Linked DNA regions of Bombyx mori. The protein of the gene in region 2 purifies or fractionates together with the protein of the main gene of each other region. This does not show direct contact. Links are inferred from orthologs where the notes say so. Each region holds a gene or a part of one and is shown on either strand. Other genes may lie near its edges. The genes, in order: squamous cell carcinoma antigen recognized by T-cells 3, U6 snRNA-associated Sm-like protein LSm6 and LSM1-like protein.

Region 1 (3,655 bases), on a different chromosome or scaffold from region 2:
CAGTATCGTTTTTGTTTGTCATATTTTCCTTCAAGGCTTGATAATTCTTCCTCCACTCCCGTATTTTTAACTGAAAAATTAATTTTAAAATAACTTTTAATTTTCATTCTGAAACTACATCGTCTGAATTATTTTCAATAAATAAATAAAAAACATTTGATTTAATTTCACAAATCCGATCTGACCTCTGAGGTTAACATTGCTATGGTAAATCAATCAATATAGCTTCTTCAGTTGTAATTAGATTTTTTAAACTTATTCCTAGACAAGGATTTGTACAATACTGTTCCAAAATCCCTTGTAACGCTGAGGCAACATTCAATTCTCCGACCTTATAAATCACTCTGCCAATGCCGATCCCAAACTCGGATGAGAAAAGAGGAGAGCTGAGTTGGAGTTCGACCTTTTCGCAGTGAAATAGTAAACACCGAATGTCTGGCGAATACTGAGAACTAAATCTCTTCTAAAAGCACTGCCGTGGAATAACGCGAGAGCCCACCATGTGTATTATCCCAAGAAAGCCTCATGAGGCCATGAATCTCAGCATTGAGGATTATCGATGCAAGGAAACCAATTGTCGAGTAAATTAACCCACAGACACAGCCCACTGAGTTTCTCTGCGGATCTCCTCATCTGGTCTTAGATTTTGCGAAGCACTGCTCTTCTACGGTTCGTGTCAGCAACAACGTTAGGTTTGAGCCCCGTGAGCTCATCTACCCGCCCGTTGACACTGGTCTCTCAAGACCATCAGCTAAGGAAGGAAAAAAAAAAAACACTCTGCCACTTTACGAATCATACAGATTGACAAACCTCACAAGTTTCTTGACACTCCTTACTGGTGTCCAGCTTCCCGTAGTCTCGTTCGTAATCAGTCCAGAGGCGCGCTATGGCCGGGGGGTAGTCGGTGACCGACCTCAACGCGCGTCTCAGCAGATCCCGGAACTTGAACTCGGACAGCGGAGGAGACCGGCTACTTTCTAATTGTATCAAAGCTTCCCAATACTTGGACATGGTTTTATTGAAGCCATATTCTAAAAAAGATAATTGATTATCAATTATTATTATCGATCGGTTTATTGTTATTGTCTATTCAGTGAGGTGATTGAAATAAAAATTGAAGCTTTCTTCATATACTTAGTTTTATGGAGTTAATTTAATCTATTTTTACCGGCCAGTATATCTATTTATCGTTTTTGAATAATTTACTAGCTTAGGATAAACCGAACATTATACTTTTTCAATGGAACGTCGGATAACTGGTATACAAAATAATGACTATCATGTTTAAAGTCAGTAAGATAGATATTTTTTTGTGTTTGTGGACTACAGTAGCTACTATGTTTTTAATATAAGTTTATAATATAATATTATGTAATTTCTCGTCTGCTCGTTATACAAGACAGCCCTTGAAATGTAGATGTCACTTTTTTTTTTGAGGCGAAAAAAAGCAAAGGAAGATGAAAAGCAAGCCCAAGTAATTTTAAATTAAAATCATTATCGCAGTTCAATTTCTGTAAATAAACAACTTACTGAATAATTCTTCAAAGATCTCTTTCCCTCGTTTTGGTGAATTCAAGAATTTGTATTCAATTCTTGCCCAATACAATGGTATCTCACAATCATTCGCTTCATCGCCCCATGCCTATGACACCGCAAAAATTCAATTAAATAAAATACGGATATCTAAAATAGGAGATCATTTGCTATGGACGCCTGCATTAAGGAAGTTCTCTTCAATCTTCAAAAAAAAAAACATAATTGAACAACGAATATACGTAACTCTATTTAAAAGGCCAATTTTTTATTGAGTTGCCTCACAACTGTATAAATTCAATGAGTATGAGAAAATTAGTAATGTGTTGAATGAACAGAATTCCAAAAATGTTCTAATTGAAATTTAAGTACGCTTAAAATAAATGATAAAATTCAAACATATAAAAACTGTAGTTTCTCAAATACGAAGCAAACAAGTAGAAAAGTAGAAAAAAAAAAGAAAAACAACAATAGATCCACAAACTTTTACCACAGACAACAGACACTTGTGTAGAAACACAAATTTTTGAATGAAACGCGAAGATTTAAATTATCTTTTATTTTATTGCTTAGATTGGTGGACGAGCTCACAGCCCACCTGGTGTGTTACTGGAGCGCATAGACATCTACAACGTAAATGCGCCACCCACCTCGAGTTAAGTTCTAAGGTCTCAAGTATAGTTACAACGGCTGCCCCACCCTTCAAACCGAATCGCATTACTGCTTCACGCCTGAAATAGGCAGAGTGGTCGCACCCACCCGCGCGGACTCACAAGAGGTCCTACCACCAGTAAAAAAACGTGCAAAAATTATCTACGTGCAAACTATTCAGATTTCGTTGGTTACCTCAGCAAGCGAGTCCCAGGCCAGCCTGAATGTGCGCCTCAACCGCTCAATCTGATCGTCGTCACTGAACTTCGTGTTGCGGCGCACGTACTCGAGATAGTTCAGCCATAGCATTTCAGCCTCCTTGTAAGATTCCAGACCTTTCGATAAGGCAGTCTCGAAGATCGACTTCACCTGATTTCCAAAAAAAATTAATTTTGTGTGTTAGTCAACAAGCTAATTTATTTCATATTATATGTAAACGGTATATATCTGTTTATTGAAATGAATGATAAAAAAATGCTATTTTTAGTACGTTATTACAAAGCTAAGTCGTACACTGTGTGCATGACTAATTTGTACGTTATTACAAAGTTAAGTCGTACACTGTGTGCATTACAAATAAAAATCTTACGTTACGGACGTTTTTTCCTGGTTAGGGTACCCCTCCGCATCGTCCCATAAGGAACTTCGTTCCAAAAAAAAAGGAAATTCTATCATTGATCAATTGTTTACAATTTATTTGACGAACCTCGTCGAAGTCTTTCTCCTCGTGTTCAGCCTGCTGCATCTTGAGGGTCCAAAAGGTGTGCTTCTGCGGACAGCGCCGCGTGCACAGCTCGAGGACGCGCCAGTACGTCGCGCGTGATGACGTCACCTGGGTGTGCTTCGCGAACTCGACCAGCAACTCGAACACGGCCGGATTGAGCAGACATTCGTACGTCGCCCGGTCGTACAGGAGCTTTATTGGTGGCCAGAAGAAAAAATATATCTTTCTTATACCTTTAAACGAGCAATTCTTGTATATATATAATCTGAATCACGAAAACGGCTCCAACGATTTTCTTAAAATTTAGTATACAGGGGATTTCGGGGGCGATAAATCGATTTAGCTACGATTTATTTTCAGAAAATGTTGTTTTATTCGTGTTTTCAATGATCAACTTTAGCCGACATCTGTTGGCGAATAATAATACTTGTTTACGCATCAACTCCTCTTTCGCAAAGTCGGGAAAGACGCAGGCAGCGCGGCGAGGGAGGGGGTGGCAAACCGGCGGAATGGCGAGCTCCGCGACGCGGACAAAACACACAACCACCTTCACTTCTGAACAGGACTCAACAGCTACAAGACGCGCAATATTATTACATACTTTCACAATATTACTTTCAAATTAAAATCAAAGGGAATTCACTAGTATTCGTAATTTAACGGCAGACTTCACAAACCACCTAAGAAAAATCACAAAGGAAATACAGTCTGAAATTCACAATCAAGAACAATACTATTTTTCTTAAT
Region 2 (4,282 bases):
TTAATTTAACGCACATTATTGAGAGCTCAATCGCAAATTAAAATAATTCGCTTAACATAACCAACAAATCCATTTTTATATCTCATAAAACTAAACAGATGATATCATTTTTTTTAAATTGTATTTTAGAGCTATGTGGTTCTTAAAAGACGAAGTGATTGTTATTACTAACTTAATAAATAAAATTTGAAAGGAAAACAAACCTCTATAGTCAACGCCGCTGTTTAATTTAACGACAACTGGGCGACCGTGAATCTGCTGTATAAACGAGGACAAAGCTTCCTTACGACTCATTTTTTGTGTTTATTTATTATTCTGATGAAATTGAAGACACGAAATACATTAAATGAAACTTAAAAATTTTCAAATTGGTCAAAGCGGGTGTTTTGATTACTTTTGATCTTTTTTTAAAGGTTTTTATGACTTGGTATCTAATACCTTTAGGTCGTCTTATTTTAATTTTAATGAATTTTTTAAAATGAAAAATTGTATTAATATTATGAAATGAAATGAAGTTGATTACTATGAAACATGGCATGAAATGAAATGTAATGAATTGAAATGAGATGTTATGAGATGAAAAATAATCTCAGTAAAATGGTGGTCATTTACTGAGACTTTTTCAGTGGACTTTTTGGAGGATGCCGAGAAGTTTGACATTCTATTTTCAAATCCAGTTATTTGTTTGTTGATTAGTGTTTTGTTTTCACTACATTTGTAATATAATGTATCTTACATCAATATGTACACGATAGAAAAGAGTGAATATGGAGAGTTCCGTCGCCGTGGCAATGCCGCAAAACGGCTCATATTATGTTTGGTATTTAAGAAATAATGTGTATGTACGGAAAGAACACTACAAAAGAACGCACGATTGGCCTGTACGGTTCAGCACAGAAGTTTTGATTTAAAACATTTTGCAGCTTTCAACGTTAGGATCAGAAGAATATTAGTTCATTTGGGTCAAGTTGGTGGGCAAAACTTGATATGTGGCACCCCCACACGAACTGAACGATCGTCACCCCATTAGGGTATCTTGAAGCATATTGTCATCTACGATGAATTATGTTGTTTATAATCATAAGCGGTCACATCAAGCTGGTCATTTGCGATGAAAAATGGATTATTGTTTATAATCATAAGCGGTCATCAAGCGGGTTGCAAACACACCCTGATTCAGAACTAGAGGCGACTTTACCTATGGTGCGAGGTGTGTGTGAGTTGCAGATGCGCGCTGCGGTTTTAGGGTGCACCGGCCTCTGCATTCTTAATGAATCAGTTAGATTTGTTCCTTTTTTTTTTTTTTTTTTTCGGGCCGGGGGCCGAACCTCCTACGAGGTCCCCGCGCCTAGGGGGCGCGCGGGGTATGTGAGACTCAGCGATCTGCAGGTGTTGAGAGCAGATCGCGGGCCCAAGGATTTTAGGGCCCACCCACCAAACGACTCCCCTGCACTCTTACACCCGACGTCCGATCTCCGTCCGGGGTCAGAACCCGTTCAGTGTAGGGGGGTTCCCGCGGTCAACACTACAACCAGACACGCGGCGCCACCCCGAGGACGCCCGACCGACGGGTCGTCGAGGCGATAGTCGACGACCAACGACGTCGGTCTCCGCGGTACGGCGGCCCTACCAGGCCGCCCGGGTGGTGCCGCTGGTGTTCCGGGATACCCCGCTGGGCCAGAACCAGCCTGCCGGGTCGGAACGCGATACACCGCCGACCGGGTTGCTCTTCAACAGTATGTTCGGCGACGACAGCGACGACGAAAATGCGGACCGCATCGCAGTCCGCAGCCGCCGACGCGCCGTCCCGTCCTCCTGGTGCAGTTAGATTTGTTCCTAGTCCAACTTGATTGCACGCTTACTAGAGGGCGCTAGAATAATTATTGCACTCGGACATTACATGGACTAGAGGTTCAGTACAAAGGCAATGCCTCAAATGAAAATCTATCTCTAAATATGTCATGTTCACTGTTTAGTGGCTTTGTTCTGGTATAATTCATCACAGCTTCCTACCAAATAGCATCATTACTACAGATGTGTATGGTGAGGAACAGGATACAATGATGAAGAAGCTTTTGTATCTCCAGCCTGCCCTTCTTAATCGCTTGTCCACACTTCTCCTATATGACAACGCTCAACCTCATATGGTACAATCGACCGTCTTTAAGCTACAAGAGGTATGGATGGAAGTTTTTGCATCCACCATACACACAAGTTGTTGCGCCAACAGACTTACTATTATCCTTTTTCCAAAGTTTGAACAACTTCTTGGTAGGGTAAAAATGCAATACCCAAGAGGTTAACTGAAAATAATTGGGCTTCCATACGCTCCACTTCTTCAAGGGCATTGAAAGATAGGCAAAAAAATATCAGTGATCTAGGGAAACAGCATAGTTACTACTTACTACTATGAATACTTATACCAAATTTTCTGGAGGAAAAAAAATGTTGGTTGGTTTGAATGATTAAAGTGAATGATGTGTGTTATTGAATGATTGATAACTGTCCACTTCGATAAAGCGGCACGACACGAGAACCCTCTCATCGTGGCCGCTGGTAACTACATTCCCGATCCTGCGGACAGAATGGAAAGCAGTCGACGTCGCCCAAAACACGTCATCTCGGATCCTCCTGATCCACTAACGGTGCTTTTAGGTACTTAAAGCACCGGTCACCGTTCTCGTCGAACCCGTCGCTTGCGACGAAGGGCTCGACGAGTAAATTAACTCTCAGACACAGCCCACTGAGTTTCTCGCCGGATCTTCTCAGTGGGTCGCGTTTCCGATCCGGTGGTAGATTCTGCGAAGCACGGCTCTTGCTAGGGTTCGTGTTAGCAACATCGTCAGGTTTGAGCCCCGTGAGCTCACCTACTAAAGTTAGGGTTACGCTGACAGCCGCTAGGGCTATCAGCTTAGGTAGGGAAAAAAAAAAAAAAAATTATAACTGTGAATGATATCGAAATTCAAATTGTGCTCTAAATTTAAATAAATGTTAACTACGGGGTATATGGGGTAATAAAACTAAACATAAACAGTATTTTTTTGTAACAAAATGTTCACTTTGCTTAAATATAAAAGTCTACGTTCTCTCTTTAGCTTCCATCGAAGTCCATACAAAACCAGTATAATTATTCAGTTCATTATCAGTCAGTGGGTATGGACTGTTGCTCGCTTTGTAGTAATCAGATGGAGCATGCATCACAAATTCCATGTATTCCAGTTTCCGAGGCAGCTCTTCTTCAGGGCCTGAAAATTTACAGCAATATTAACCTTAACTGTCACATTTTTTATATACACTATTCTTTTTTTTGCTATATGGCAGTTGAGTTTTCGTGATGCTATTGTTGCCAGTATTGAGTTAGTAAAAATCATATTTACAAAATAAAAATAAAAAATTAAGCTGAATTTAATTAAGTTGGTTTATTTCATTATATTCATTATATTGGGATGAAATTACATGATATAGATTGAAACAAGACGAGAGGAAGTGAAATCAAACAATGCAGGCTTTTTAGAAATGCCGTGTCAAGCGACTTATTTCGTTTTCTGCTATTCACGAGCTTTGATCGAATACACATTTAATGAGTCACTATTATTACAAGTGGAAAATCTAAAGCACTAAATTTACAAAATGAAAAAAATCACCCAAAATGCCTTAGATATTGAATAAATACTTTAATCACCTACTTCTGCCTGTTGCAAATATCTGTATTTCTAATTAAAATATTATTAAAAGCTCATACCAATGATATATGTAGCAGGATCAAAACATTTCTCTGGAGGTGGGCTCGCTTTTGTAGGTAATAACCAAGTAACAGCTGCACTCTTCTCACAGTACTCATCAGTTAGGAAGCCTCTAATTTGGGCATAGTATGTGCCACCATCAATGTCAGTCATCGAAACAATATCACCAACTTGCATGTACATACCCTGAAAAAATTACCACAGACTATTCAAAGCAGAACCGAGGTAATTTTTCAAGTTTTCATGTTTACTGTGAATAATAAGTTAGGGTTTTTTAAATTAAATTAATCTCTAATCAGTTTTTAAACTATAATTAGTATGCGATATAGCCTCAAGATTATTGAAAAATAAAAAAAAAGGTATATTTCTACAGCTGTTGTATATCTAACTACAGATTTTAATTGGATTAAATAATTGAACAGACCTGATAAAATACTGAATCACTTGTAACAACAGTCGCTGTAGCTGTTGGTGCTTTCAATGGCTGCCTTTTGAATAGACTCCTGCGTCCTCTGCCCCGCGGCGCCGGCTGCTTCAAT
Region 3 (3,650 bases), on a different chromosome or scaffold from region 2:
GTAAATCCTTTGATTCGAATCTATTGAGTGAAGTCTGTCTCCCAGCAAAAGTAGTAGTGCACGCACTAGTCAGGTAGGGTGACAATAAAAAAGTAGATGAGAAAAGAAGGAAACCAGGGTTTGTGTCGTAAATTCAGAACATTCACTAGGGGACATGTTTCTACGAAAAAGCGGTAAGACACGATAGCCCTCTTATTGTGACTGCCTCTAACATACAATCCACTCAGTCCACTAAAATTATAGTGTGATTTTTGTGACATGATTGTATATTTTGGCAAGGAATCAGTCATGCTTTCCTGCCAGAGGGCATTATACAAAATAATTGACACTTCGTTCTCAACATTCAACCAGGTAAAGGACTATGTTACAAAAATTCCTATCTTTTTGCAAAATATCATTTAAATTCGCTAAGATTTGCAGATTGTGTAACCAAAACAGTTTTTTTTTTATACTAACATAAAATTAATTTATGTATTTAGTAAAATTACAAATAAATAAAAGCCACAGAAAAGAAAAAAAATCAATATTATAATAATTTTAGTTCACATTATTACAGCCTTTTAACAAATATAAATTTTAATATATTTCCGAAAACTTAAAACATATCATCGTGTCCAAGATCTGCTAGTAAATTAAGCCCTCTTTCTTTTAAAGCTTTTGATAACAATTTTTGTTGATCAATCTTCGCATCTTGTTCTCTTCTTTGAGCATCTAGTATTTCATCTACTGATACTTCCGTTAGAGGGAGATTTTCTTCTTTGTCTTTGTCCTAAAAAAGAAATATGTTAATTCAATAGTATTTTTAATGTTATCTATTTTACTTTTGATATGCAATTAAAGTTCAAAATGAAACCATATTTTAATATTATGTTTAATAAATTCTTAGACATTGGTTATCAACAAGTGGTTATGTCTTTATTGATTTTAAATTGTTCTATTATTGTTGTACTTATTTCACAAAAACTTTACCAGTTTTACTTTAATACAGTAAATAGTGGCACTAACTTCATTGTTACCATCAATAAATATTACAAGTACTTATTGTTTCCATATCACCCTGTTCTTTTGGTATCTATAACTATTCTATTTTTTATTGATATGCAAATAAACTCAGCTCACTTCGTAATAGGTGGTTACTATGTTACACAAATATCTCTATGACTGCCAGTTACTGGGCTTGAGACAAGAGGTCACATATTGGTCTCATTGAAAAAACAACTGTAATTTAAAAATTAAACTAAAAACATGCTTATATTGCAAACCCAACTAACTATTTAGTCAGACTAAGTAAAAATTTAAGAGCAAAGTTATGAAATTATTGTATTCTTATCAGTCCATAATGCATGTGCACATTTTTTAATTAATCAGACATCTTAAAGTCAGTGAAAATTATGTTCAAAGATTAAATTACATATTAACCAATATACATACAACCCCAACATTGCAAGTTAATAAAAGCATGATAATAGGTAATAACTCTATTGCATTGCAATTACAGTTATTGCTAAAACATAGTAACATTTCAAATATTCACACAACTCTGAGTTTAGAGCTAGCAATACAGAAATAAATATTTTTCCATAATAAATATTTTAGAATATGTTTCAATGTAGTTAAGTTTACAATTCACTTTTGCCTCCGTAAGCTGTCCATTCATTGTGCTGATAAGGTTGGCAGCAAGACAGGTTAAAAAATTTGTTTGGACTAAATTGGGTATAAGTGGAAGGTAAGACTGCTAAGGACAGAAAAAATAAGCTGTAGTAATAGTCCCAAATGGCTAGTCTTATGAATAAAAGTATTACAACTTTAATAACATTTTAAAAATCAAAATAGCTATACATACTATTTCACCAAGTAGAACAACATTCTCTCCTCTAACAATGAAAATGCCTCTCGGAATATCACCGTATTCTTTGCCAACGTGTATTCGTTCTATTGTCTTGTGGAGCACTAGATTAGCGAATTGATCCACGCAGCGTAAATACCCGATAAGCGTCCTTCCGTCACGCAGCAACACCATTAGTTTCTCTTTACAAAATAATAATCGGTTACATTGTATTCAAATAAACAGTCAAGGAAGCACAGGTTCGAATAGTGGGCACCTACTGTCTAATTCGTCGAGAAGATGCGCCGTCCCAGCTAAAGGGTTTGTATTACTAGACATTTTAATTGATAGTATTTATTCAATTTTATTCATAAAATAAAGTAAAATTTATAATTTTAGCGAAATTTCGAAAGTTTGCTAATTTTGATGTCAATTCTGTCAATCTTTTATTCGTTCATTAGACAAGCAGAGGGAACTATTTCATACAAGCATGTGCTTTAAAAGACAGACCCGAAGCAAATTATTATTCTATTGCTTTGCGCGAGAACTGAATAGAAATATATTTAAAAAAAGATGTTAATAACGACATGGAGTTGTATGAGAAGATATGAACTAAAGGAGATAATAAAATGAGTTAATAAAAATTGTTGGATATATGATAAAAGTAATTTAAAATCTCAATAAAATGGTAAAGAATTATTGATAGTTCTATAGAATTTATAATCGAAGTCATGCCCAACGTTTATGTTCCATTTTCTCACATTTGTTGCAGATACTAATTGTTTAAGCCTGAGGTACCACTAAATCAACAAAATAAATCGATTCACACAACTTAACACTTAGCTTTATCGGCAAAAAGTTTCATAATTGCAACTTTCATTGTGCTACACGCCACATTTATTCATGCCGCACAAATATTTTAACTGTACATAAAGTGGTGAAATTTATTTTCAATGGCCATCAATACCCTTTTAAAGCTTTAGTTTGACAGTTTATATGTTTTTGTTTCCAATGTCACAACATGTAGGTAGTTTAGAGAAGCCATGGAGTTAATAAGTACCAGAATAGTAACTCTATGAGAGAAGCTTTGCCATCAGAAACTTGTCACTGTCTTATTAGACTTTTTGGCGGAAACGCGAGGAGCGAAGTTGTGTGAATTGTTTTATTTTGTCTATTTCGTATTTCGTTTGTTCGTATGTTTAAATGTGTAACAACGGTGATTTATTAACTGTTTAATATCGGTGAAAGTGCACAAAAGTTGTAAAATGAAACAAAGGCGCTGGACGTAGGTTCTCGGGATCCTCCAAAAAGTTTATTGAAAAAGTCTCAGTAAATAACCACCATTTTACTGAGTTTATATTTCATCCTATATCATTTTATTTGATTAATATTCGATGTTCCCAATTAATCAACTCCATTTCATTTCACTTTTAAAATTTAAAAAAAAAAAAAAAGAATAGGCTGTATGGTATGATACATCTGCCTTTCCAGTTGGAAAAATAGTACTACAACTACTGTTCTGTCACTGTCAATCAATCAAACTAACTCGGGCTTTCACGTACGATATTAATTTTATTTTATTTTTTTGAAATATTATTTATTGCCGAGGATAAAATCAAGCGAAGTGATATGGTACGCTGACTGTTAGAGTGTGTGTGGTATTTAAATGCTTTTTATATAGTTATTGTCTGTATTTGTAATAAGTCGTAAAATGGAACAAGACGATGAGATCAAATCCGGTTGTTTACTATTTCCCCCTGCAGGTGGAAATGTGTTTAGCAAATTTCCAAAAAAGGTAATACAATAATTGATTCATTAATAATCT

Evidence for each region.
Region 1: the proteins of U6 snRNA-associated Sm-like protein LSm6 (region 2) and squamous cell carcinoma antigen recognized by T-cells 3 purify together in Homo sapiens (affinity purification with mass spectrometry; 4 studies listed by BioGRID and IntAct, counting the BioPlex papers as one, with this or other methods). This does not show direct contact. The link is inferred for Bombyx mori from reciprocal best matches to the Homo sapiens genes LSM6 and SART3.
Region 3: the proteins of U6 snRNA-associated Sm-like protein LSm6 (region 2) and LSM1-like protein purify together in Homo sapiens (co-immunoprecipitation; 3 studies listed by BioGRID and IntAct, counting the BioPlex papers as one, with this or other methods). This does not show direct contact. The link is inferred for Bombyx mori from reciprocal best matches to the Homo sapiens genes LSM6 and LSM1.

The regions. Positions count from the first base shown.
Region 1 is NC_085122.1:6,468,433-6,472,087, forward strand, and holds part of squamous cell carcinoma antigen recognized by T-cells 3, read right to left. Parts: intron 3,101-3,655; coding exon 2,891-3,100; intron 2,554-2,890; coding exon 2,380-2,553; intron 1,643-2,379; coding exon 1,531-1,642; intron 1,032-1,530; coding exon 811-1,031; intron 71-810; coding exon 1-70. UniProt on the Homo sapiens protein: U6 snRNP-binding protein that functions as a recycling factor of the splicing machinery. Promotes the initial reassembly of U4 and U6 snRNPs following their ejection from the spliceosome during its maturation.
Region 2 is NC_085134.1:2,613,456-2,617,737, reverse strand, and holds the start of U6 snRNA-associated Sm-like protein LSm6, read right to left. Parts: upstream 2,933-4,282; 5' UTR 295-2,932; coding exon 204-294; intron 1-203. Other genes in the region: GATA zinc finger domain-containing protein 1, read right to left, coding at 3,079-3,245, 3,743-3,929, 4,168-4,282. UniProt on the Homo sapiens protein: Plays a role in pre-mRNA splicing as component of the U4/U6-U5 tri-snRNP complex that is involved in spliceosome assembly, and as component of the precatalytic spliceosome (spliceosome B complex).
Region 3 is NC_085129.1:3,372,889-3,376,538, reverse strand, and holds LSM1-like protein, read right to left. Parts: upstream 2,238-3,650; 5' UTR 2,165-2,237; coding exon 2,107-2,164; intron 2,029-2,106; coding exon 1,844-2,028; intron 770-1,843; coding exon 596-769; 3' UTR 525-595; downstream 1-524. Other genes in the region: uncharacterized protein LOC101746363, read left to right, coding at 3,537-3,620. UniProt on the Homo sapiens protein: Plays a role in the degradation of histone mRNAs, the only eukaryotic mRNAs that are not polyadenylated. Probably also part of an LSm subunits-containing complex involved in the general process of mRNA degradation.